Astyanax mexicanus: one gene and its partner. The protein of the gene in region 1 binds, or shares a complex with, the protein of each later gene. Links are inferred from orthologs where the notes say so. Each region holds a gene or a part of one and is shown in the gene's direction. Other genes may lie near its edges.

Region 1 (11,611 bases):
AGAGTGCTATCAGTTTAGTAATTATCAGTTTCTTCGATAAAGGAATAGGGCTGAGAGAGTTAAGACTAGCACAGTCTTCCTCGAGACACAAGACTCAGTTTATTATTTGAAATGTTTGACAAACAAATATCTGCAATTATTCAAACATTGGAATTTAGGACTGTCTTTTATGTCTCACAGGGTTCTGATGATGATGAAGATGGAATGAAGATTCCTCTTCCCCCTGATAATCCTATGCCCCCTCCACTGCCACCGACCCCAGACCAGGTCATCATCCGGAAAGACTATGACCCCAAGGGTGAGACCCCATTTTATATTTTTTATTTTTTTTTGTGTGAAACAATGCTGAAATAAATTTCTGTGTGGCTATATTGGTAATTATTTTATATGATAATACATTTTACAATGTAGTTTTTGTATTGTAATTATATTACAATAACTGCAATATGTTGTCTAATGTATTTCTCTATTTGTAGTTATTTCATGAGCTGTCTGCATTTAGATTTAATTTCATCTGATGCCTTAATTATTAATTGTTCTTTATTCTGGACACATTTTATTTTTGTTTTTGGTCTCCTATTTTTCAGCTTCTAAGCCCCAGGCTCCTGTCCAGACTACGGATGAGTACCTCATTTCTCCCATCACCGGTGAGAAGATTCTGGCCAGTAAGATGCAAGAGCACATGCGTATCGGCCTGCTGGACCCACGCTGGCTGGAGCAGAGAGACCGCAGTATCCGCGAGCGGCAGATAGAGGAGGAAGTGTACGCCCCCGGCCTGGACATCGAGAGCAGCCTGAAGCAGCTCGCCGAGAGACGTACCGATATTTTCGGTGTGGAGGAAACGGCTATCGGAAAGAAGATCGGAGAGGAAGAGATCCAGAAACCAGAGGAGAAGGTTAGTGAGGGAGACTAAAAAACAACTGTTTTTAAGTGATTAGTTTAAGATGGTACATTGCATGTTGTTTTTAAATCCCTACCCACTAGATAGCCATGTTGTTTTTATTCTTTAACATCTCATACAATTAAATCATACCTTTTTCACAGCCGATATGGCGTTACGTCTGGCTCTGAATAGTAGCGGTATCAAACCTCTGCCTACACTGTTGAACAGGGTGCTTATCGGTTGTAGTTTTCCCCAAACATCTTTAACAGACAGAATAAAATAACACTAACTGTGCTTCATTTTGGAGTAGAAAAAAGTCAAGTTCCTCACTTAGTCCCACAGCATCTTTTTTCTACATTAAACTAGTCTCCAAAACACTGTTCAGGGAGCCATTACTGATGATAATCTAAATTAATGCTGAGGTAACTAATTTTGATGTTGAGGTAAGAGTTTTTAATTATTGTTTTGTACATGGTATTTAGTTTCAAACTGTTTTGGGATGAACGCAGGGCTGAATCATGGGTCACTCCGGTTAGGTTAACCTCTCATTTGTTGATTTCCTCTTTTAAATGACACGTAATTCAACGGGAGTTTTTTTTGTTTTTTGTTATTGGGAAATTATTGGTGTATTAGCTTCAGCCATTAGCTTCAGCCATTAATTAGAATACAACTGGAAACAGCTACTGTTTATGCTTCCGTATTACCAAACATATGGAAAGTGTAAAATGGTCTATATATATCGCCTTGCTTAGAGCATCGCAATGTGTTATTGTAAACCCTTTACTATGATGCGTGTTGTATAGCAAAATTTCTTGACCACACACAGCCCTAATAGGAACTGGATTCTTACAGTAATGTAAGAAATCCATTACAGTATAGATCTGCAGTGTTTGCATTCTGAGAGTAGTAACTGTTGATTGAAGGTAATCCAGTAGAAATCTGCAGTGTGGACTCCAGTCTGACAGGAATGTTTTGCAGAATAATGCACATATTTAAACTGCAATAAATGTTCATTCTTTAATATGTCTGTTTTTCTGTCCCATTCTGTCTCCAGGTGACATGGGACGGTCACTCTGGCAGTATGGCTCGTACTCAGCAGGCCGCCCAAGCTAACATCACCCTGCAGGAGCAGATCGAAGCCATCCACAAAGCCAAGGGTCTGGTGCAGGAGGATGACACCAAGGAGAAGATTGGACCCAGCAAACCTAATGAGCTGCCCCAGCCTCCAATGCCATCCTCTGTGGCCAATTTACCCAAACCCAGCCCACCAATCAGCACCATGCCTAAGCCCCCACCTGTGGTCAGTGCGCCTTCTGGAGTTTAAAAAGGTGATATAAATCATATAATATGAATAGGATTTAACTGTTATTTTTTGTGTTTGTTTGTTCTGGTTTACAGGTTCCACCCCCAGTCCGGACCACTCTGCTGTCTGCTGTGCCCGTTATTCCACGGCCCCCGATGGCTCCTGTGGTGCGTTTGGCCCCTGGGCAGGTGCTGACCCCCATGCCACCCATGGTACACGCGCCACGCATCAATGTGGTGCCCATGCCTCCCACAGCTCCACACATCATGGCTCCAAGACCTCCACCTATGGTGGTCCCTGCAGGTAAGAGGACAGTGTTAACATCTGTTGCTTCGGTCAGCAATTATTACAGGAACAGTTAAGAGGCCAAGATGCTTCTTGAAGAATAGATACTGAAGGTCTTTTGTTTCTCCCTCTAGCATTTGTTCCAGCCCCTCCAGTGCCACAGCCTCCCAGTGCAGCTCCAGCCCCAATGCCACCTGCTCACCCTCCACCTCCCCACGAGGACGAGCCAGTCAACAAGAAGATGAAGACAGAGGACAACCTGATACCCGAAGAGGAATTCCTGCGCAGAAACAAGGTGCTGTGTGTACTAGTAGGATATACAGTGCTTTTTATCAGTTTGTAAACCCTTTAGAATATAAATATGACCTAAAACATTATCAGATTATATTACTAGCAGTACATAAAGAGAACCTAGTTAAACAAATGAGATTTTTTGTTTATATTTTACTTTGTCATTTATTTATTAAGCAAAATGATCCAATATTACATATTTGTGAATGACAAAATGATGTGAACTTTTCATTTAAAAATTATATTGGATGTTTTCAGTCAAGTCACAGTCCTGACCATAATTCAGTCAAAATGTTGTGGAAGGTGCTGATTTCCTAAAAGTATATTAAGAGAATCTAGTTAAACAAATGAGACAAAAATATTATACTTGGCAATTTATTTATTGTGAAAAATAATACAATATTAATAGAGATTGACCAATCAATGTTTTTGGGGCCAATTTTGATCACCAAGCTTGACTGGAGACAAATGCCACAGAGATGCGAGGCAAACATGGTACTGATTCTCCTAATTATGGTCACCACATTTTTTGCCACTCACAACTATGTAATAGTGTATAATTTTCAATAAATAAATGAGCAAGTCAAATATTTTTGAAGTTTTAGGCCATATTTATGCAAAAATATAGAAAATTGGAAAGGGTTCACAAACTTCCAAGCACCGCTGTGCACACACAGGAGTACTGCAGGGCTGTAAACTGTGACCAGGGTATCTTATCTTATATATATTAAGAAACTTTCACATTTATTTTTTAGTGCACTGCACACAATGTTGTTTTTAACATTGGGGTTTAAGAAGGTTCATTGTAATAAAAATTAAAGTTTCATTATTAAATTATTGTGACTAGCTCACTTTTTATGTAGACTTTGTGTATGTCATGACAACAGGGATGAAAAAGTGGGTGTTGTGATACATTCTTTGAGTTTCTCACTAATTGTAAGATTTTATGCCTTTCAGGGTCCCGTGGCAGTCAAAGTTCAGGTACCCAACATGCAGGACAAGACCGAATGGAAGCTGAATGGACAAGTGCTCAACTTCACCATGCCTCTAACAGACCAGGTAAAGAGGCCCGCCAACAGTGCACTGACTAATCATTTAACACAGAGGATATATTTCTCTCTTTTTGAATTGATTATTAACCTTAAACATGTTTAAATAATAAAGTTAGTATTTATTCTTTTATTTTTTTTTTTATGTGTTTAAATAAAATCATTCTCTTCACATTGTTCCTATTCACAAGTATTTCTCTTTTTTTTTTAGGTGTCTGTTATCAAGGTTAAGATCCATGAAGCCACTGGAATGCCTGCAGGCAAACAGAAACTTCAATATGAGGTAAATTATAACAATTTTCAAAAAACGCAGATCACTTCTTAATCCATACAAGGGAATTCGGCTGCACAAAACAGTTTGCCAACCAGTACACACTTTTTATATTACATTTCCATATATCGAGTGGATTTCTGAGCTAAAAATAAGCTGGGAAAAGATTGTATACGAATAAAAATAAGTTATGACTCATTTTTTCCTAAAATCATACAAAATTACAAGTATGCATCAATCAGTAATTCAGTCCCCAGAGGAGAAAATAAAACAGCCCTTTAATCTATTTTATTTTACTGTGCTTGCATGACCTGTGTGACTATCAAAAAATTATCATTATTTATTAAACATAATTAAATTCTCTCTGCTAATTGAAACTGTATCTTTCGTCTGCAGGGTATTTTCATCAAGGACTCAAACTCTCTGGCTTACTACAACATGAACAACGGCTCTGTTATTCATCTCGCCCTCAAGGAGAGAGGAGGAAGGAAGAAGTAGTTTATACTCTCGAAACTCCTCCTACTGCTCAGCTCTATTACCATCCCTGTTTAGAAGATTCATATGTAGAAATTGCTGCAGTTTTTGCTTGGTAGTTTATACTGTTATCAACAAGCTGGATTCCTTGGAACTGTCACACTCTTGTATGAAATGTCTATAGTGTTAGGCATTTATCTTGTGTAGTTAAGTATGTTTTACTGTTTTGGCTGATACTAGGCTTATGTTTCACCTTTCAGATCTAAAACACTGCTTTTGTGAGATTCTGAAATGAAAAAAATGAAAATGTTATTACAAAGCAGAATCAAATAAATTTAAGGAAAAACCTTAAATAATGTGTTTTTTTTGGCATTAAACCTCTAGCTATTGCATCAGAAAACGAAGCATTTGTCATTTATATGTACAGGAAAACACAATTGTCTTAGTCCAGTTTGACAAGGCTGAGGTGAGATGTGCTACAGCGCCCCCTGGAGTGGAATAAGGGAATTTGTTCATAGGAAACCAACAACACTAAATAATCCAGAGCTCTTACTGAGCCACCACTACTGCATATGTCTGGTATCAGATATTAAATATTTGCTGAATGAAACGTGATATTTAAATGGTAGTAATACACCAAATAAACTCTTTTGCAGAGTGTAATAACTTTTCCACTTTTTTCACCATTGCAATAAATTAAATACTCTAAATATATTTGTTAATTTTACTTAGAAAAAATTACTGCAATTTTAAATTTATGTTGAGTACTGAATATTTTTTACATCCAGGCAGACACACCAACAAAGCTAAATATAACCTAAAATAAGAAGGGCATTAATTTTTTATTTTTCCGTTTAGCATTTTTATCCAAATCATTTTTTTAAATTAAAGTGGAAAAAGTCAAGTTTTAGATGCATGCAATTATAGACAATTTATTTGAACAGTATTAAATTTATTGAGGACATATGTATGCTATGTTATACATTGCAAGGTCCTTATTTATCGGTCAGCATTGCATTTTTGAGTATGTAAGTGTAAACAAACAAGCAAATAAATAAAAAAAATGATGTCGCTTGACAACATTTATGTAAGCATGTTTATTCCATATACAATGCACGTTTGTTTTACTCATATCTAAGCAATAACACGAATATAAGTTAAATAATTATTAATACATTTAATACAAAAATAAAATCAGACACATGTTTTCTGCCCCCTGATGGATTATCTGTTGCAAAAACAGATAAAGGTGTGTTTAAAGTGGAGCACATACCTGCTTTTGCGAAAGAAAACTTCAAATTCTAATGTATCAAGTATGATCCATAAAAGTCCTGCATGTGAAGCGTTATTTGTTTTCTTTCTGTATTAATATTTTATTATATACGGTTTAAAAACAAAAGAATTTTAGCAAATATTTTGTGGTTGTGTCTTTAAAGAGCTAAGTCCTTTTCTCAATATATTTTTATATATCAGAAGGTTGAATTTCTAAGAATATATTATAAGAATGGGCGAAAATCGTTTCTTTTTTTCCTTTTCGTGACTTTTATTATGAAGGCAGCGCTTTGTAGTAATGTTGTCACATCCTGAGGCGGTGCGATATTTAGCGGGAGATCCTGAAGTTGCCGTGTGTTTGTGTTTCTCTGTTTGTTTATGTTTATTTATTAATTTATAGCTGTGTGTGTGTCCTATAAACTGTCAGCACTTTTACAGTAAAGGACCTAACCCACTGTACAAGAGAGTCCTGAACCCCGAAACCGGTAAGAATGAGGGTTAGAGAGCGAGCTCGTGTACTCACTGTGTATCTGAAGGCTCTGGGTTTAGGTGTGTGTGGGTCTGAAGGCTCTGGGTTTGTTTGTTTATTGTGTATATATTATTTCCTCTCCGCAGTTTTCGGTCATGTTCTCGGATATTACGGAGCAGAAGGAGACCCTGCTGGCTCCTCCAGGAACGGAGAGGCCGGTGTTCTCCCGGGATGAGCGCACGTACAGCGGCTGCAGTGAGGGCTTCGGGCTGGGGGAGCGCAGCTTCCAGCGGCAGTACGCGCACATGTACGCCGCCAGACTGATGCAGATGCGCGGCATCCTGAAGGACAGAGCCGAGCAGAAGTGGGGTGAGAATTCTGGGTGTACTGGTTACAGTGGGGCAGCGCTTTGGAAATACAGAAGAATCTGTAAATACCTTATGATGGATTCTAGGAGCCAAAGCACCTATAAACTAATATCGAATACAATATAATTATTACAGATTACCCAAGTCTCCCGGAAGTTGCGGGAGTCTACAATTGATATCATATCCATAACGGCTCCCTGATGCCCGCAAGTCAGATAAAATCTCCCGGAATCTAGAACGAGTGGCCCAAGAGTGAACACATAAAGTGCATGCAAAACAGAGAGTGTTCTGATTGGCCTGTTCTTTGCAAAGAGTCTCTGGGTCAGCCAGTCAGTTTTTAGTGTGGGCGGGCAGTGTTTTTTTTTTTTTTTCCTCCTGGACGGGATGCGTTCAGGAGCATCGTGGCTCCCATCAAAACTCATTTTACCTCTGACTACTTTAAAGCATATCCATGTCTGGTAAAAACAGTGAAAGTCTTGCCCGCTGTACAGTTTGTAATAGTAATTTTAGTGTTGACCATGAGGACTAAATGATTGCAAAAGGCATGTTGAGGTAAGTTAAATGTGACCATATATAAAAGTTCTATGATCCTTTGGTATGCTTTGTGAGTGCGCTAGTTCTTGTTTTTGTTTTTTTGTTTTGTTTGTGGGGTGGTTGGGGGGAAGTTCGGGTCTGGGGTACCTCACTGAAATTAATTGTTGCAACTTGGGATGTCTGATCATTTATTATTGTTATTATTATTAATTTATTATTACTTTTAGTATTATTAACAAGGTTAAAACAATGATGACGTTACAAAACCTGAGCAACTACCTGGGACACCAGGTTTACATTAAAGTTTATATGAACTCTAACTATGAATTTTCTACCTACTTCCACTGCTGCTGGGGCTATTCAGCTAATTATATTAGACATATGTGGAAGTCTAATGCTTTTTAACACTGATTGATTGATTTATAAGTTATCTGACCAGGAGAGGCTGGGTTCCCTTCTATATTAGCCATGATAATACTTTCTTGCTAGCTAGTAAGCAATGAGGCTAATCCAGCAAGCTACCTCTATAAAGCCATACTCCACTTTTATCCACACTTTATTTTTCTCCAAATAATGGACACAGCATCGCTCTGCTGAAGACTCTCAGCCGCTCTCCCTAATCCACACTACACTATTATCACTGTTTCCCTCCCAGAAATACAGGAAACTATCCCCATTTTAAAGAATAAATCATGATTTTGAATATTGTGGTGATTTTATTTTTAAATACCACTGATACTAATATAATTATTTTATCCAATCTAACAGAAATTATTATTATTATTATTATTTTTTTTTTACATTTAAATACCCTTAAATAAATTCTTCTTTAAAAAGTCACATGGTTTACACACATGCAGTTGATATTTTGATATACATTTGATATTTGCACTGGTGAGTTTTTAATGTTTTTGTTTGTTTCAAGTAAAATGTACTCAAGGAAAAGTGGCTTAAATATATGGTGTCCATTAATATATTAGTGCAGTTAATATTTAAGAAGCACAGGCTAGTACAATATGTCTTCTACAAAGCCTTTTTTGAATCATGCAAGATAACGCTTGTGGACTGGAAAGTCAGCCTGGATTGGCATGTATATACCTTTTTATAATATTTATTTTCTGTCCTTAATTAATCCTGAGTTAAATGATCTGTATTGGAATGATGTTAGTTTTACTTAGCTCTGAGATTTTTGTGTATTACCGTGCATATTCCATGTTTATATCTGGATTTTGTTTTTATTCCTCAGTACCGAGACTCAGTCTGTGTCCCATGCATTGCGAAATTATGGAGCCCAACAACAAAGGAAAAAATGAAACAGGAAGATGTCTGCCTGCTGCTGTGTTTGGCTAGTGATGCTGATGTCTTTCCTGGGTAATCAGGTTCCTGTTATTAACTCGATGTTTCATGTTTTTTCAGGTACTGACATACCAATCAAGAAGCTCTGTGATCTGCAGATGGGTGAACAGTGTGTGATCGTGGGCACCATATTCAAGCACATGGAGCTGCAGCCGTCCATACTGAAGGAGATCAGCGAGGAGGTAGTCCAGAAAATAAACCAACCCATCAATCATCATTGGATGTCTCAAAAACAGCACTTTTGCTGCAAAAAGAAATGGGAATCTATTTAAAAAGATATCACAAATTTTGGAGCATTTGTATTGGCCAAGCCTTGAACTTAAACTGCCAGATTTATGTCAAAAATGTTTTTTGTAGATAACCTTCTTTGGGGGTTGGAATGCTGTTAATGTAAACTTTTATGTTCTGTTTGTGATCATTTGGAATATTTCTTTTCTTTACTTTTTTTTTTTAACTTTCTTCTTTATCATTTCTTTTGATTACCTCAGCACAACCTGCTGCCCCAGCCGCCTCGTGCCAAATACATCAGCCAGTCAGACGAGCTGATTCTAGAGGATGAGCTGCAGAGGATCAAACTGGAGGGCAAAATCGAAACAGCCAAGTTTGTTACTGGTAAAAATGAGGGGTTTTTTGTTTTTTTTTTATAACCCTTATACCGGTAGTAATATATAACATACATTTGAGTTTGTAATGTGTTGACTGGATGGTCTCAGTTTGGTTCATTTACTTAAGATTTCACAAAATGTATTAGATCTGCTTTGATAATCTGTTTTATTGGTCCACAGGGAGTGTGATTGCGATTATGGGCGCAGAGAAGAATGATGGTAAATTTACAGTAGAGGATTACTGCTTCGCTGACCTTCCTCCACAAGCTCCCAGAGAGCCTCTGAACTCAGATCGGTAACCCAGTCAGCTTTTACACTTATTTTTAAATTGGGAAAAATAAATAAACCTTTGCACACAATAAAAATAAATGCACTTTTATATTTATGTAATGCATCTATCAGTTAGAACATCAAAACCAATACCACATTAAGGGAATAACATTTGATCAAGGTCTATATATGAAGAGCTTTTCTACACACCCCTCTGACCCATTATTCTGTTTCCACTGTAACTGCAGGTTTGTGCTCCTGGCTTCTGGCCTGGGATTGGGTGGTAGTGGAGCAGACAGCATGCTGGGACTGCAGCTGCTGATTGACATGGTCACAGGTCACCTTGGGGATCTGGGAGAGCAGAGCGGGGCAGCTTCCATCTCTCATGTTCTGCTGGCTGGAAACCTTCTCAGTCAGAGCACACAGGACAAAGACTCCACCACCAAGGTGGGTGGAGGAAGGTGGAGGTTCACCTTAGATTACCTGTGGAACTAGATGTTTCATTACATAAAGAACATACTGTGCAGTGAACAAATGTTTGCCCCAATTTCACATTACACATATGACCAGCGAGTAAGGACTTTGCCATCTGTAGCCTCTCTCTGAGGGGGTAGATGGTAATTTCTTCCCTTATCACTCCTGTTGTGAAGCTGGTCAGCACAGGCCTCTGCTGGCTGATGTATCAGAGCTGGGAATCTGGCACTTTTCTCTGCATGAGTTGGGTGCTTGTTGATGTTATATTGGTGGCTGTTTGATACATAGTTTGAGTCATATTGAGTGAGTGGGTGGGTTAATTGCTAAAAGATAAAACGTGGGGGAAAAAATGAGAGATCTCAAGGGCCCAAAACATGCAACAGTGTGAAGACCAATTGGAATGTTTTTATTACCAATTGATGAGTGAGTGATGAGTGAGATATTTGATTGTGAATTTTCAAATTCATATTAAAGATCGAGTGTAGATTGAGTTCCACACCTAAATATTATTGCATGGATAAAATTATCATCAAAAAGATATTTATCGGCTTCTTATTTCTGTCGTCCAGGCAAAATATCTTACTAAAAAGACACAGGCCGGCAGTGTGGAGGCCATCAGGCTGCTGGATGAACTGCTAGTTCAGTTAGTGGTGAGTTTTATTTTATTTTATTTTTTTATTTTTTTATTTTTTTTCCTCCCCTCCCCCCCCCTTTCGTCCCTGTGAATCTCAGTGGTTTCATACTGTCAATAAAGTCTTCTTCCAAGTGTACCAACTCACCTTCTCTGCTTTTTACCTCTTTCTTGCAATATTTGTCCCCTGCAGGCCTCTGTACCAGTCGATGTAATGCCAGGAGAGTACGATCCCACTAACTACACTCTGCCCCAGCAGTCTCTACACCGCTGTATGTTTCCTCTATCTGTGCCTTATCCCACCCTACAGCTTGTCACCAACCCTTACCAGGCCGTGATGGACGGAGTCCGGTGAGTAACTGCCAATATTCAAATATATGGATATTCAAACGTAATAGGGGAATTTGTTTGACAACTTTATTTGGTTTCCCGTAATGTTGATTTACCATGTTCTGTAAAACTCCACTGATCTTTTCATAAGCAGAGTTAATATGAAAATATTTCAAAATAAAATGAACATAAATAATTACGAAAAGCAGTGTTACTGTCACTTTAAGACCATTTAATGATTTAAATAAAATAGCATAATGCATTTAAACCCTTTTTAAATGAGAACAAGCTTTTAATTAATAATAGTTTAGGAGCTGAAGACTTTTTTTCTATTGTGTCTGGACAGTTTTCTGGGCACATCAGGTCAGAATGTGAGTGACATTGTGAAGTACAGCAACATAGATGATCACCTGGAGATCCTAGAGAACACAATGCGTCTCCGCCACCTCGCCCCCACTGCCCCGGACACACTGGGTACAAAAAAAACCTCACACACACCACCAGTCTGTCCTTCTTTAAATATGATCAAAGATAATTTTGAGTATTTTCTATCTATACTGTTATTTCAGTATTATTTTCCATTTTCTAATGCCATTAAATGTGATGTATTGATATATGGAATGAATATTAAATATGTGTATATATAAATGTAAAGCTTGAAATTCTTTCCTTTTTTTTTTTTTTTACATACTCACTTATGCTAAAATGCATGTATTGCTTGCAGGTTGTTACCCATTCTACCAGCA
Region 2 (10,708 bases), on another chromosome or scaffold:
CTATTGCACACTGTGTAATAGAGTAATTACTACCTCACCTGGTCTTTTGTGCACACTGCAAAATTTGCACACTGTCTTGTTATTTATTATTCTTTGTCTGTATTGTTTTGTATTGTCTGTCTGCACTTTTGTACTGTTGCACTATTGTTCCGTACTGTTGCACGTTGTTTCGTTTCACTGTGTACTCTGTATGTAGCTGAAATGACAATAAAAACCACTTTGACTTTGACTTCTGGTAGTAATGTAGGATGAGGCTGGTAGCTGTATAAAAACACACAGTTCTCAATTTAGCATTTAGCTAGTTAGCTGGTATGCTCTGTTCCATGCATTTCCTGGACCTGGTTAAGCAACAGCACAAATAAAAACAGAAAACGGTAACCAGACTAACTAGAAACTTTATTCGCTTCAGCACAGATCGGTACTTAGTATTCATTTGGCCCTGCAGTGGTCTTAATATCACATTCCCCTGAAAGGCCTTTGCATTTTGGGATTCAGAAAATGTTTAGAGGGAAATTGTCCCCATCAGGACAAGCATGTGTGCGAGATCAGGTGAAAACATTATTTTCTCTCCACTGTGGTAATTGGCTGCAGCACACATTGCGTGACCTGCCCTGCCATGAATAACCACTCACCAAATGTGATTAGGAACAGTATTGCTATTCATGCAGCAACATAATCCAATTTTCAACTTATAGTCCAAAATGGAGTGACCTCACTAGAGTCTCTCCTCCCGCTGAAATACGTTGAGAATAAAACTGTCTGACTGCAGTTATGGTCACGGTCCTCAGAGGATTTCTACACCAACAGCAAGCATGAAGCCTCAGTGCGCACTGGTTCTGGTCCTGCTGGTTGTCCTGGCTCTGTACTGTGAGTATATCATGTTTTTACTATGTTTTGTAGGTGAAGCTGCGCAATACGGTAATATTTTATTGTGTCTTTTATTGTATAATGATAAACGCATTTCTTTACAAGTATACTGTGGATTTCGTCAGTGCTTCAAGTAATACACACTGACCAATGCAATGCAATGTTATCTCATATAGACATGTCCATATACCAGTACACTACAGGTCAAAAGTTCTTCAGATCCAGTGAATATCCTGAATATTGTAGTAAACTTAAATAGCATTAAAAAGTTAGCAGTAAAACGCCTGGGTGTTTGAGGAAAAATAACTTAAAACAGGAAAATTTGTGTACTGTAAAAAAAAAAAACAAGAATAGAGGAAAGTGGCTTTTTAGGAAACAAGTAATTGTTTAACAGCTTACAGTTGGCTGGTAGCAATAGAAACAAAATTTAATAAGTCTTAGTCTCTACTGCAGCATTTACACACTTGCACACAGCACAAAAAAGACACAGAAACACAGAGAACTTTGTAACTATTAAAAGTAAAAGTCTTTTTTTAGAGAAATTACAGATGAAGCCAGAGAGCGGTGAGTACTGTTTCCTACACCTTCTAAACACTCTTGTAAACTGGAGAAAACTGCTACAGGAAGACGTCTGGCTGACCCACATGGAAACAGCTTTATCCTTTAGCTCAGATTAACATGATTGAACTGAGTTTTAGCAGTGAAGAGAAGAATTAGAGGTCTGACAAGTGAAGAACTGCAGTAATAAAGTCATTGATAAGATGAATATGGTTAATCTTCAGCTTATTCAAATTATTCTAGCATGGTTAAACAGTATCTTTTTTTGTATGTAAAAATAAATACAATTACTATTATGATTATTATGAATTCAAGCTGTGTCTTAGCTGTACAGAACCAAAACAGTACTGCATTTTATTTTTGAAGGTAAAGAGAATGAGGCGGCGTCCTTCCCGTGGAGCTGTGCCAGCCTGAACGGAGTCTGCCGACAAGGAACATGTCTGCCTTCAGAGCTCTACTTCGGACCACTAGGCTGTGGAAAGGGCTCTTTGTGAGTTAAAACACTCTGTTATAAAATATACCCTAGTTATGATAAGTACTTACAATACTACTATTTTTTGTTTTTTTTGTAACTTTATTTTATTGAGTTTTACAAATCCAGGGTATCAACATAACATATGCTGTGTGCACACAAACAATAAAATAAAGTGTGTGTCTCTTATTAGAATAAATATAAACACATCTGTATATTCATCAATGTTTATTCAAATACAGAACAAGGGGATGCCATGCATTAGGATACCTATGGAATAATTTTGTACCAATAGGATTAAAAGTTTGTAAATCTAAATTATTAAAAAAAGTAAAAAAAAAGTTGTTGTTTTTGGACTAGATCTATCTAAAGATTTCAATTCAGTTTTATTTAAGTCACTTTCACAGAATTCTAACATGTAACATTTAAACGAGACAAACACATGCAGCACAATGCAGAGGAATTAAAACTAAAAACTCCAAAAGTTTGAAACGGGTTGTGCAGCATTATTTGAATTTTCTACATTAGATTAATTTGCACCTGGATTCAATTTAAAGTCTTAAATACAGATTTAATACAAGTTCAGATAGACCTTGTTCAACATCAAACTTTAATATTCTAATTCATATCACCCTCTTATTCAGTGTTTTTATGTATTTATTTTCTACATTGTAGATTAATATTAAAGACATTAAAACAATTAAGAGACACAAATGGAATTACGTAGTAAACAGTAAATAAAACAACACCTCCAGGAACTCCTTCCTTCAAGACGCTGAGAAAACTATTCCAGGTGACTCTCCCTCATGAAGATACTGAGATTAAAATACCAAGAGTGTGCAGATCAGTCCTTAAAGATAAATGTGCTACATTTTTTGTTTACAGAATAATTCAGCATGTGTTCCTGTAGAGCTTTAATATTTTCAATATTACATTTACAATGTAAAAAAAACATAATAAGAAAGAAAACACATTGAATAAGACGAGTTGTGTCCAAACCTTTGACTAATGCTTTATAAAATTCAGCACAAACATAATTTCTTAAATATCCATGTAGAGAGAAGAAGATCAATACAACATTTCAATTGAGCATCTACAAATATAGCTTTACAAGGCACAACTCATAGCTTAGCTTTTACATAGGCAACCATTTATTAATCTGATTCGCATCTTTATGGTAGGAATATATGGTTTTTCAACATAACAACAGGATACAGAACTGAATGTCAAAAGCAATACCAATATTTCTGAGCACTATGCAATGAATAAGACAATGCACAGATATGTAAATACATGTTTTGTTTTTTTCACCAGATGCTGCGTATCACACTTCCTCTGAATGCTATCAACTAAATCCTAGCAGCGTGTATCTGCTGAAGTGACGCCCATCATGTGAATCCAATAACCTGCATGTTTTGAAGTACTGCTATTTAATCAGGCCTGAGATGTCCAGTGTGGGATTGTATCTACAGGCCACTGTCGACCCCCAGCTTATTCAGATAGATGCTTTTGTGATTATTTGCAAATGCTTGTTGTGATATTGTGCATTATTAAACATGATGCAGGTTTACAGCATTTCTGATATTTGTTTAATTGTTTTGTTCATACTGTTTAATAAATACTTTCATTAAGTTAATTAAGGAGACAGAGATTTCTTGTTCATGATGTTCACAAAGTCTCATACTGTTTTATATATATATTATATTGTAGTAGTTTTAGGTTGTAATCTACTGTTAAATATTCTTAATAATCAAGTTGCTCCCTACATATATTAAAGTGATCCAATGTGAAGCCTACTTTATTTTTTTTGGCTTAATTTAATTTACAGGACAATTATTTTATCAATTACTAATAAATATTTATATTTTCAGTTGAGGGCAAAAAGCTGGTATTGCACAATACAGGATAAAGAAATGTGTTGTTAAAGTAATATATCATTATTGCAAAGGACTGTTTATACAAGCAAATATAATTGATTGCCAATTATCATTAGTATTGTATATGTAAGACTAAGTTTAATTCAGTTTTATTTCAAAGCTATCTAATGTAATTTTTAATAAGAACAAAATGCTTCACCAATGGTTAAATTCAGTTCATCAAATTCAGATTTAAATGTCAAAATAAAAAAAATGAATTTTAATTATACAGATTTATAAAATAAAATATTTAAGGCATAAATGTTTATTTCTCTGCTTGACTGTTTTTTTTATTTTCTCCATTGTTATATTAGAATATTACTGTGAGCCACAAGAAGTCCAAAATGAATGGGGGTCAAAGGAGCTAAAACTTAAAATAGTTACTATCCACATGTGTAGGATATTCATTTAATTATATAAAGTATTACAATGTATTTTACTAAATAAGCAAAGAAAACTTTAAATATATTTTAGTTTGAGTTACAGTGAGGGCAGGTTTAAAAGGTTTATAACTGGAGAATGATTTCAAAATTATGTTTTCAGCACTGTATGAAAAGGGATGTTGGTCAGTTGTACATATAATGGATAGGGAAGGAAAGTTTATCACTAAAAATATGTAATAAGAAGGTTTTAAAATTTTTGCTATGTTCAGAATTAATTTTATCCCCACTTAAAATGCCTGAGAGTGATGATCAGACAATAGCAAATAGCAAAAATGAATAAAATGCTTCATTTTGTGTAAAAAGTGGCACAAATGAACTTCATAGATTTTACTATATTTTATTCAAATTACATGTAAGTGTTTGGTATGGAAGCCCATTCCCGCCACCTAAAAAAAAAAAATCCAGCACATTTTTTTCTTACTTTTACTTAACCTGCTATCTCATTATTTTGAGATAGTAAATCATTATTTTGAGATAATATCTCATTTTTAAATTTTAAAATATTGAGTCATTCTTTTGAGATATCTCATTTTTCTGAGATACTATCTTAGTATATTGAGATAATATAATTATTTTAAAATAGTCATTATTTTGAGATACTGTGTCATTTTTTGGAGAAACTATCTTATTATTTTGAGATTCATTATTTTTAAAATAGTAAATTATTATTTGGAGATTGTATCTCATTATTTTGAGCTACTATCTCATTATTTTGAAATAGTAAGTCATTATTTTGAGACACTATTTTTAAGTCATTATTTTTTGGAGATACAATCTTAATATTTTGAGATTGTAAGTCATTATATTTAAAATAGTAAATAATTATTCTGAGATCTCATTATTTTGAGTAATAGTAGTAAGTCATTATTTTGCAAGAAAAACGTTTATGTTTAGCAGTGTACTTAATACCAATTCTCTATAATTATTGAGGCCCTAAATGTTAATCAGAGACGGTCTGTTTTTATAACAACTCGCTGAAGCGCGGGTGGCAGTGAACGCACCCCTTCCCGTCCGCGCGCACATGACAGGAAGTAAATAAAGTTTCCCGCGTTTCGGAGCTGCAGAGTGGAGCTGCTTCAGATTATCGCTGCGATGGACGATCTGTATTTAGACAACATAGACGAATATGTGAACGATCAGAATAAGATAGTAAGTGTCTGATGTTCAGGAGAGCGCTGTGTTTGAGGGCAGTGGGCGCTGCTTGGTTGATTGTGTCTGTTTAATAGCTGTGAGCTCTGGGGTGTGGGTTGGGGAACGCTGCATGATCAGTGTTCAGTATTGGTTTAGAGCTGGAGGTGGTGGGTTGTGTGGGTGTTTTATTAGTTTAACACTACGGAAAACTGCTTTTTTTATTTTCCTGCAAAAATACGGTTAACCTAGCTAATTTAGCTTGCATTAGCTGGTGTTATCACTGGACCCACTATTCAATGTGATTGACTAGCTAGCTTTAGCTAAGCTATGTTAGTAACCTAGGTTACCTATAGTTAGTTAGTTAGCTAGCTATGTTAGCTTAGCATATTTTCCTGCTGAAAAGTCCAGTCTTTGCAAGCTAAGCTAAGTACATGAAGGTTTCCAGATTATCTAAGTTTACCAAATGCCATTATACAAGCTGGCTACTAGGGGTGGGCGATATGGCTCTAAAATAATATCACGATATTTCAGGGTATTTTTGCGATAACGATATACTTGGGCTATATAGGAAAACTAAAATAATTTATTAATTTCAGGAATATAGAATAAGAGTATAACAGAATAATCATAATGTGGCAAAATAAATAATATAGCATAAAATAATATAATGCATCAAATAATATTGCAGAATATTTAGTGCATGCATATAAACTGCAAACTAAAACAATTATACAATAAATACACCTAAAGCTTCACAGTAAATAATAGACTACTTTTAAGACAGAACAGCCCTATTATCATGACATGGATTTTTAATATCATGATATTTCTGTCACGATATATTGTATACGATATAATATTGCCCACCCCTACTGGCTACTTGGCTAGATAAGCTTCTAAAGCTGTTTTAATGCGACAAACAATGTTATTGTCCTTTTAAGAACATTAAGTGCACCTGACATAACCATAACAATACAGAAATAATAATACATTAAGCATAACCAAGCTTCCATATATTTTTGAAGAGAGTAACGTTACATTTAAGCAGTAATAAACAAGAGGGAGTATCCTGATTAGTTTAACACGTTTTAGTTAAGTTACTACACAATTAATTATGTGTTGCTTTATAGTCTGGATCACTTCACTATTCATTTACTATGTAGGAAAAAACCTCTGTAAGCAGCAGTGTGTGGACGAGCATTGACCTGCTGGAATAAAGCACATCTTTAACATAACCTTGGGCTGATAGAGTGCTTATTTTAATCCCACACCATAAAATCATACGTTTTAAACTGGATATAAAATCAAGCTATAATACACAGAACATGGAACATGGGAAATTAAAATAAGAAAGCATGCCGCTCATTATGTAAATGCAGTTAATCAAATTCAGATTTGAATCTTAGAAACACTTTTTCATCCTGGTACTTGCAAAAAGCAACAAATCTCTAGCTTAATCTCTGCAGTTTCGGGCTTTCAAACATAAAGAAATGCTAGAGATTCCGGTTAAGTCAGCTGGAATCTCCTACATTTCTCTGGCATTGTGCTACGTTTGTTTTGAAAGTGACTTGAAATGCTCCTCTTTGGACAAGCTTCATTAAAAATAGCTAATTTCAAATCTTGGTCAGTTTTAAACAATAAAGTAAAAAAAAAAAATGTGTTGTGAAAAATAGTTTTGCTATATTTGATGGATTTTCCTCTTTTATATTCACAGGTCACATATAAATGGCTCAGTCTTACTCTGGGAGTCCATGTCAACACGGCTAAACAGTAAGTATATGGCTATACTATTATTTATTTTTAGTAAAGGCTGTTTGAGGTGGGCCGACAGACATAGCTTTTTTTTCATGTATTGCAGGATGCTTTATCACTACTTAGACCAGAGACGCAAGGAGAGGTCTGGAACCACACTGCATGCCACCTACCTTGTATCCGGAAAGTGCAGTGAGAATGGGAGTGTGGTGAGTATGGAGACCAGGATTCTTTTATGCAGAGTTTATTACTGTAAACAAAGATGTTCCACGTGATTTAGCAAATCATTTTTTTACTGTTTTGCAGTATCTGTATTTGTGTTTCAAAGATGCTTTAGTGCAGAAAATCCTGATTCACAGGAACAAAAAGTTACTGCACATTATTTACATTTACTGCATTTAACTGATTCTCTTATTCAGAGCGACTTACAAAATTAGTCCTATTACAGAGGTGGTCCAGTGTAGTGTTAGGAGTCTCGCCCAAGGTCTTTAATTGGTGTAGCATAGCATCCAGACACCCAGACCTGGAATTGAACCTGAGGTGTCTCCTGCTTAAATATGTTATTTTTTTTTTTCTCCCCCCTCACATTTATTTATTATATATATTACATAGACCGTTCACAGCTTTATACCCTCTAAATGAACATGTTAAATAAAACCATATATTTATTGAAACAAATAAAAATAAATCAAAATTAACTTAAATCAGTTTATTTAGATTTTAAAGTTGCTAGGCCAGTGTTACTTGGTCCTTTTTCTACATACAATAAAAATGTCGGCCAGTTTCGTTGTGAAATATCTACCAATTCTACACATTGGCCGGTACCAAAGATTCTTAAAAAAAGCAATTATCGGCTGATGCTGATATATTTCCAATATCATCGTTCATCCCTAGAAAACTCCCTTGATTATTAGCATCGCTCTATTGTGTATCAGGACCCCCAGGTTAAAAACCTATTTTAACCTCCTTTATGCATTTAAAAATAAGAGGTTATTAGAATTACATGAGACCGACCAACATTGGCTTGTCTTCCACAATATAATGTGATCTAGAACACCTGAATACCTAAATACCTTTTCTGAATACCTAAATGTTTTCTCTTTTATTACCTGAAATATTTTCTGTTATTCCTTTTAGTGTCATAAGGTGTCCGTGGTGCGTGAAGATCAGCTTGATGGTATGATTATCTTTTCTGATGTTTCAGAGAAAAAAATTAACATGTATAATGTTCAACCTACACAATTCAATTTAAATTTGAGTAGATCTTTACACCGTTCCTCTCTTATGTTCTTATCTGTTCTAGATACGAAGTCCAAGCTGGATAAAACCATTAGTGTTCATGTGTACAGTGTCCAGAAGGCTGAGCTGAAGGATAGCGGCCCACTCTACAGTACAGACTATGATGCTGTGAAAGAGAACCTGAAAAACTGCAACAAGTATGGGATTTAAGATCTGTTTCCATGCATATTATGGGGATTATGACAACATTCCTTTTAGGGCCTGTTAGAATCAATCAATCAATTCCAATTCACAAGGTCCCAATTTGATTTGGTTTAATTCAGTACAATGTATTTTAGGAATGTTATAGTGTATTGTTTTTGTTCAGATTTGAAAGAGACTTTCAGAGAACTAATGTTATAATTGTATAAGGGACAACCAATCTACCATTATTAAAATTATAAGTGTTTACCTGAAGAATTAACCCAAGCAAGATGCATTTCTGTTTTTGTTATTCAATGTGTCCATATCATAACAAGAGTGTCCATGTAATGTAATCAGGCATTCAGCTTATTTACTTCTACAGAACTTCAGTGTAAGAAAAGAGTGAATTTAATCAATGCTTGGATTAATTTTCTCTTACTCTGAATGTAACTGCCAGTGCATTTGAAGTGGAATGTAAAAGTCAGTAACTTGTTTGCTAGCTAAATGTGAATTACTAAAAATAAGACGCATCTTGTCTAGTAGTTTAGTAGACTCTTATAACATTTAGTGAGAGAAAACTAAATCTTTTTGCTAATATTAGCTGAGCTTCTCTAACGCTAAAGCATGTTTTGGAACTCTGCAAATAGATGACTTTTACGCACATGAAAAATAGGCTAATTTTAAAGATTAATCTTAGGTTTGTATGAATCACTGATTTTAAATGAAAAATCATTTTTTAAAAGATCCACCTCTAATTCCTGTTAATGATTTTGTTTAAATCTTATTCTGCTCACAAATGTTGGAATATTGAAATAAACATATTATAATTTATCTTAATTTATTCTAATGAAGTAGGTGGTAATTTTTCCCCACAAATTAAGCATTTTGTCAAAAAGCTATTTCTTTCCCAAAGTGAAACAAATTGAACTGATTTGTGGGAAAGTTTGAGATTTTGTTATTCGTTGTTGTCTAAAGGTGCACTAAACCCCCTGATTTTAGTTGACTCCTCCCTGAGCTGAAAATGTGAAAAAGGGTCAGTAAAGTATCTTATAACATGTTTTGCACAGAAACCAAAAAAATGGCACATGTGCAGATTGCAGTTAAACCTGTTAAAATGACAATCTTTGTAAGTCACTGGTGAGCAGATATGTACATAGCATGGAAAAAAATAGTTTGAAATGTTTTATTTATATGTTATGTTAGCAGGTGGCATTCTCAGTAATTTGTTTGACTGTTTGCAGGTATAGCACTATCCGCTGTGCAGCCGCTGTACCGCTGTCCCACACAGAGCTGCAGAAAGTCCAGGAAAAGGTTGTGGAAAAAGAAGCTACTAAACCAAGTCTGAATGACCACACAGCAGCTGCTCCTAAACCCAGTGTAAAACAGCCTAAAGGCATTATGGGAATGTTTTCCAGCAAAGCTGCTCCTAAAAGTGAGGCCTGCAACAAAGAAGTGAAAACGGAACAGAAAGATGAGGCGTCTCCAGTAAGTGTGATTTTATTTGGGCATTAAAAATACCCTAGTTAACATTTGAAATGATTTGTTGTCATTTAAAAAGCACTTACATAAGATAATTTTACATAGTTAGTGAAGTATTATTTTTTGGCTGTGAAATTTGAAGACTTTGCTGTTTTTGTAAAAATGATCATCGTTTTTTTTCAGACTGAAGGACCTAAATCTAAGGTATCTTCCAAAGCCAATGCTATGAACAACTTCTTTGGGAAATCAGCTGACAGTAAGTCATTTAATGTATTTCTAAGGGTGCATGGTGTCATTGAATTAGAATAATGATATTTCCAAATGTTTGCTTTGTTTGGTAAATTACTGAATCTGCAGCACACAGATCAAACTGTATTGGTGAAAAGCAGAATTTTTATTTTCTATTAATTGTGTGTGGTGTTAAAACATATCATTATGGCCATCCTTGTTTCTACATCTATAAAACATTTTTTTAGCACACTGTATTTTTTTCTAAGTTACAGACTGTAGTTCTGTGTCTGTTTCTTTATTCTGTATACTTTATTTTTATCCTTCTTTCACTCTGTTCTTCAATACTCAGAACCCCACAGGATAGAAAATCACCACAGAGCAGCTATTATTATTATTATTATTATTATTATTTGGGTGGTGGGTTATTATTAATCTCA

What was found.
Region 2: pold2 (region 1) and pold3 share a complex: the UniProt entries of both Homo sapiens proteins name them as parts of the both the DNA polymerase delta and DNA polymerase zeta complex. The link is inferred for Astyanax mexicanus from reciprocal best matches to the Homo sapiens genes POLD2 and POLD3.

What each region holds. Positions count from the first base shown.
Region 1 is NC_064419.1:31,902,956-31,914,566, forward strand, and holds the start of pold2 (DNA polymerase delta subunit 2), read left to right. Parts: upstream 1-6,139; 5' UTR 6,140-6,313; intron 6,314-6,443; 5' UTR 6,444-6,452; coding exon 6,453-6,666; intron 6,667-8,615; coding exon 8,616-8,737; intron 8,738-9,043; coding exon 9,044-9,167; intron 9,168-9,340; coding exon 9,341-9,455; intron 9,456-9,678; coding exon 9,679-9,877; intron 9,878-10,473; coding exon 10,474-10,554; intron 10,555-10,728; coding exon 10,729-10,886; intron 10,887-11,211; coding exon 11,212-11,339; intron 11,340-11,589; coding exon 11,590-11,611. Other genes in the region: sf3a1 (splicing factor 3A subunit 1), read left to right, coding at 181-298, 588-895, 1,938-2,183, 2,282-2,489, 2,606-2,766, 3,720-3,821, 4,023-4,094, 4,479-4,580. UniProt on the Homo sapiens protein: Accessory component of both the DNA polymerase delta complex and the DNA polymerase zeta complex.
Region 2 is NC_064424.1:5,730,534-5,741,241, forward strand, and holds the start of pold3 (DNA polymerase delta subunit 3), read left to right. Parts: upstream 1-5,272; 5' UTR 5,273-5,348; coding exon 5,349-5,405; intron 5,406-7,101; coding exon 7,102-7,157; intron 7,158-7,245; coding exon 7,246-7,348; intron 7,349-8,276; coding exon 8,277-8,316; intron 8,317-8,442; coding exon 8,443-8,575; intron 8,576-9,802; coding exon 9,803-10,046; intron 10,047-10,223; coding exon 10,224-10,296; intron 10,297-10,708. UniProt on the Homo sapiens protein: Accessory component of both the DNA polymerase delta complex and the DNA polymerase zeta complex.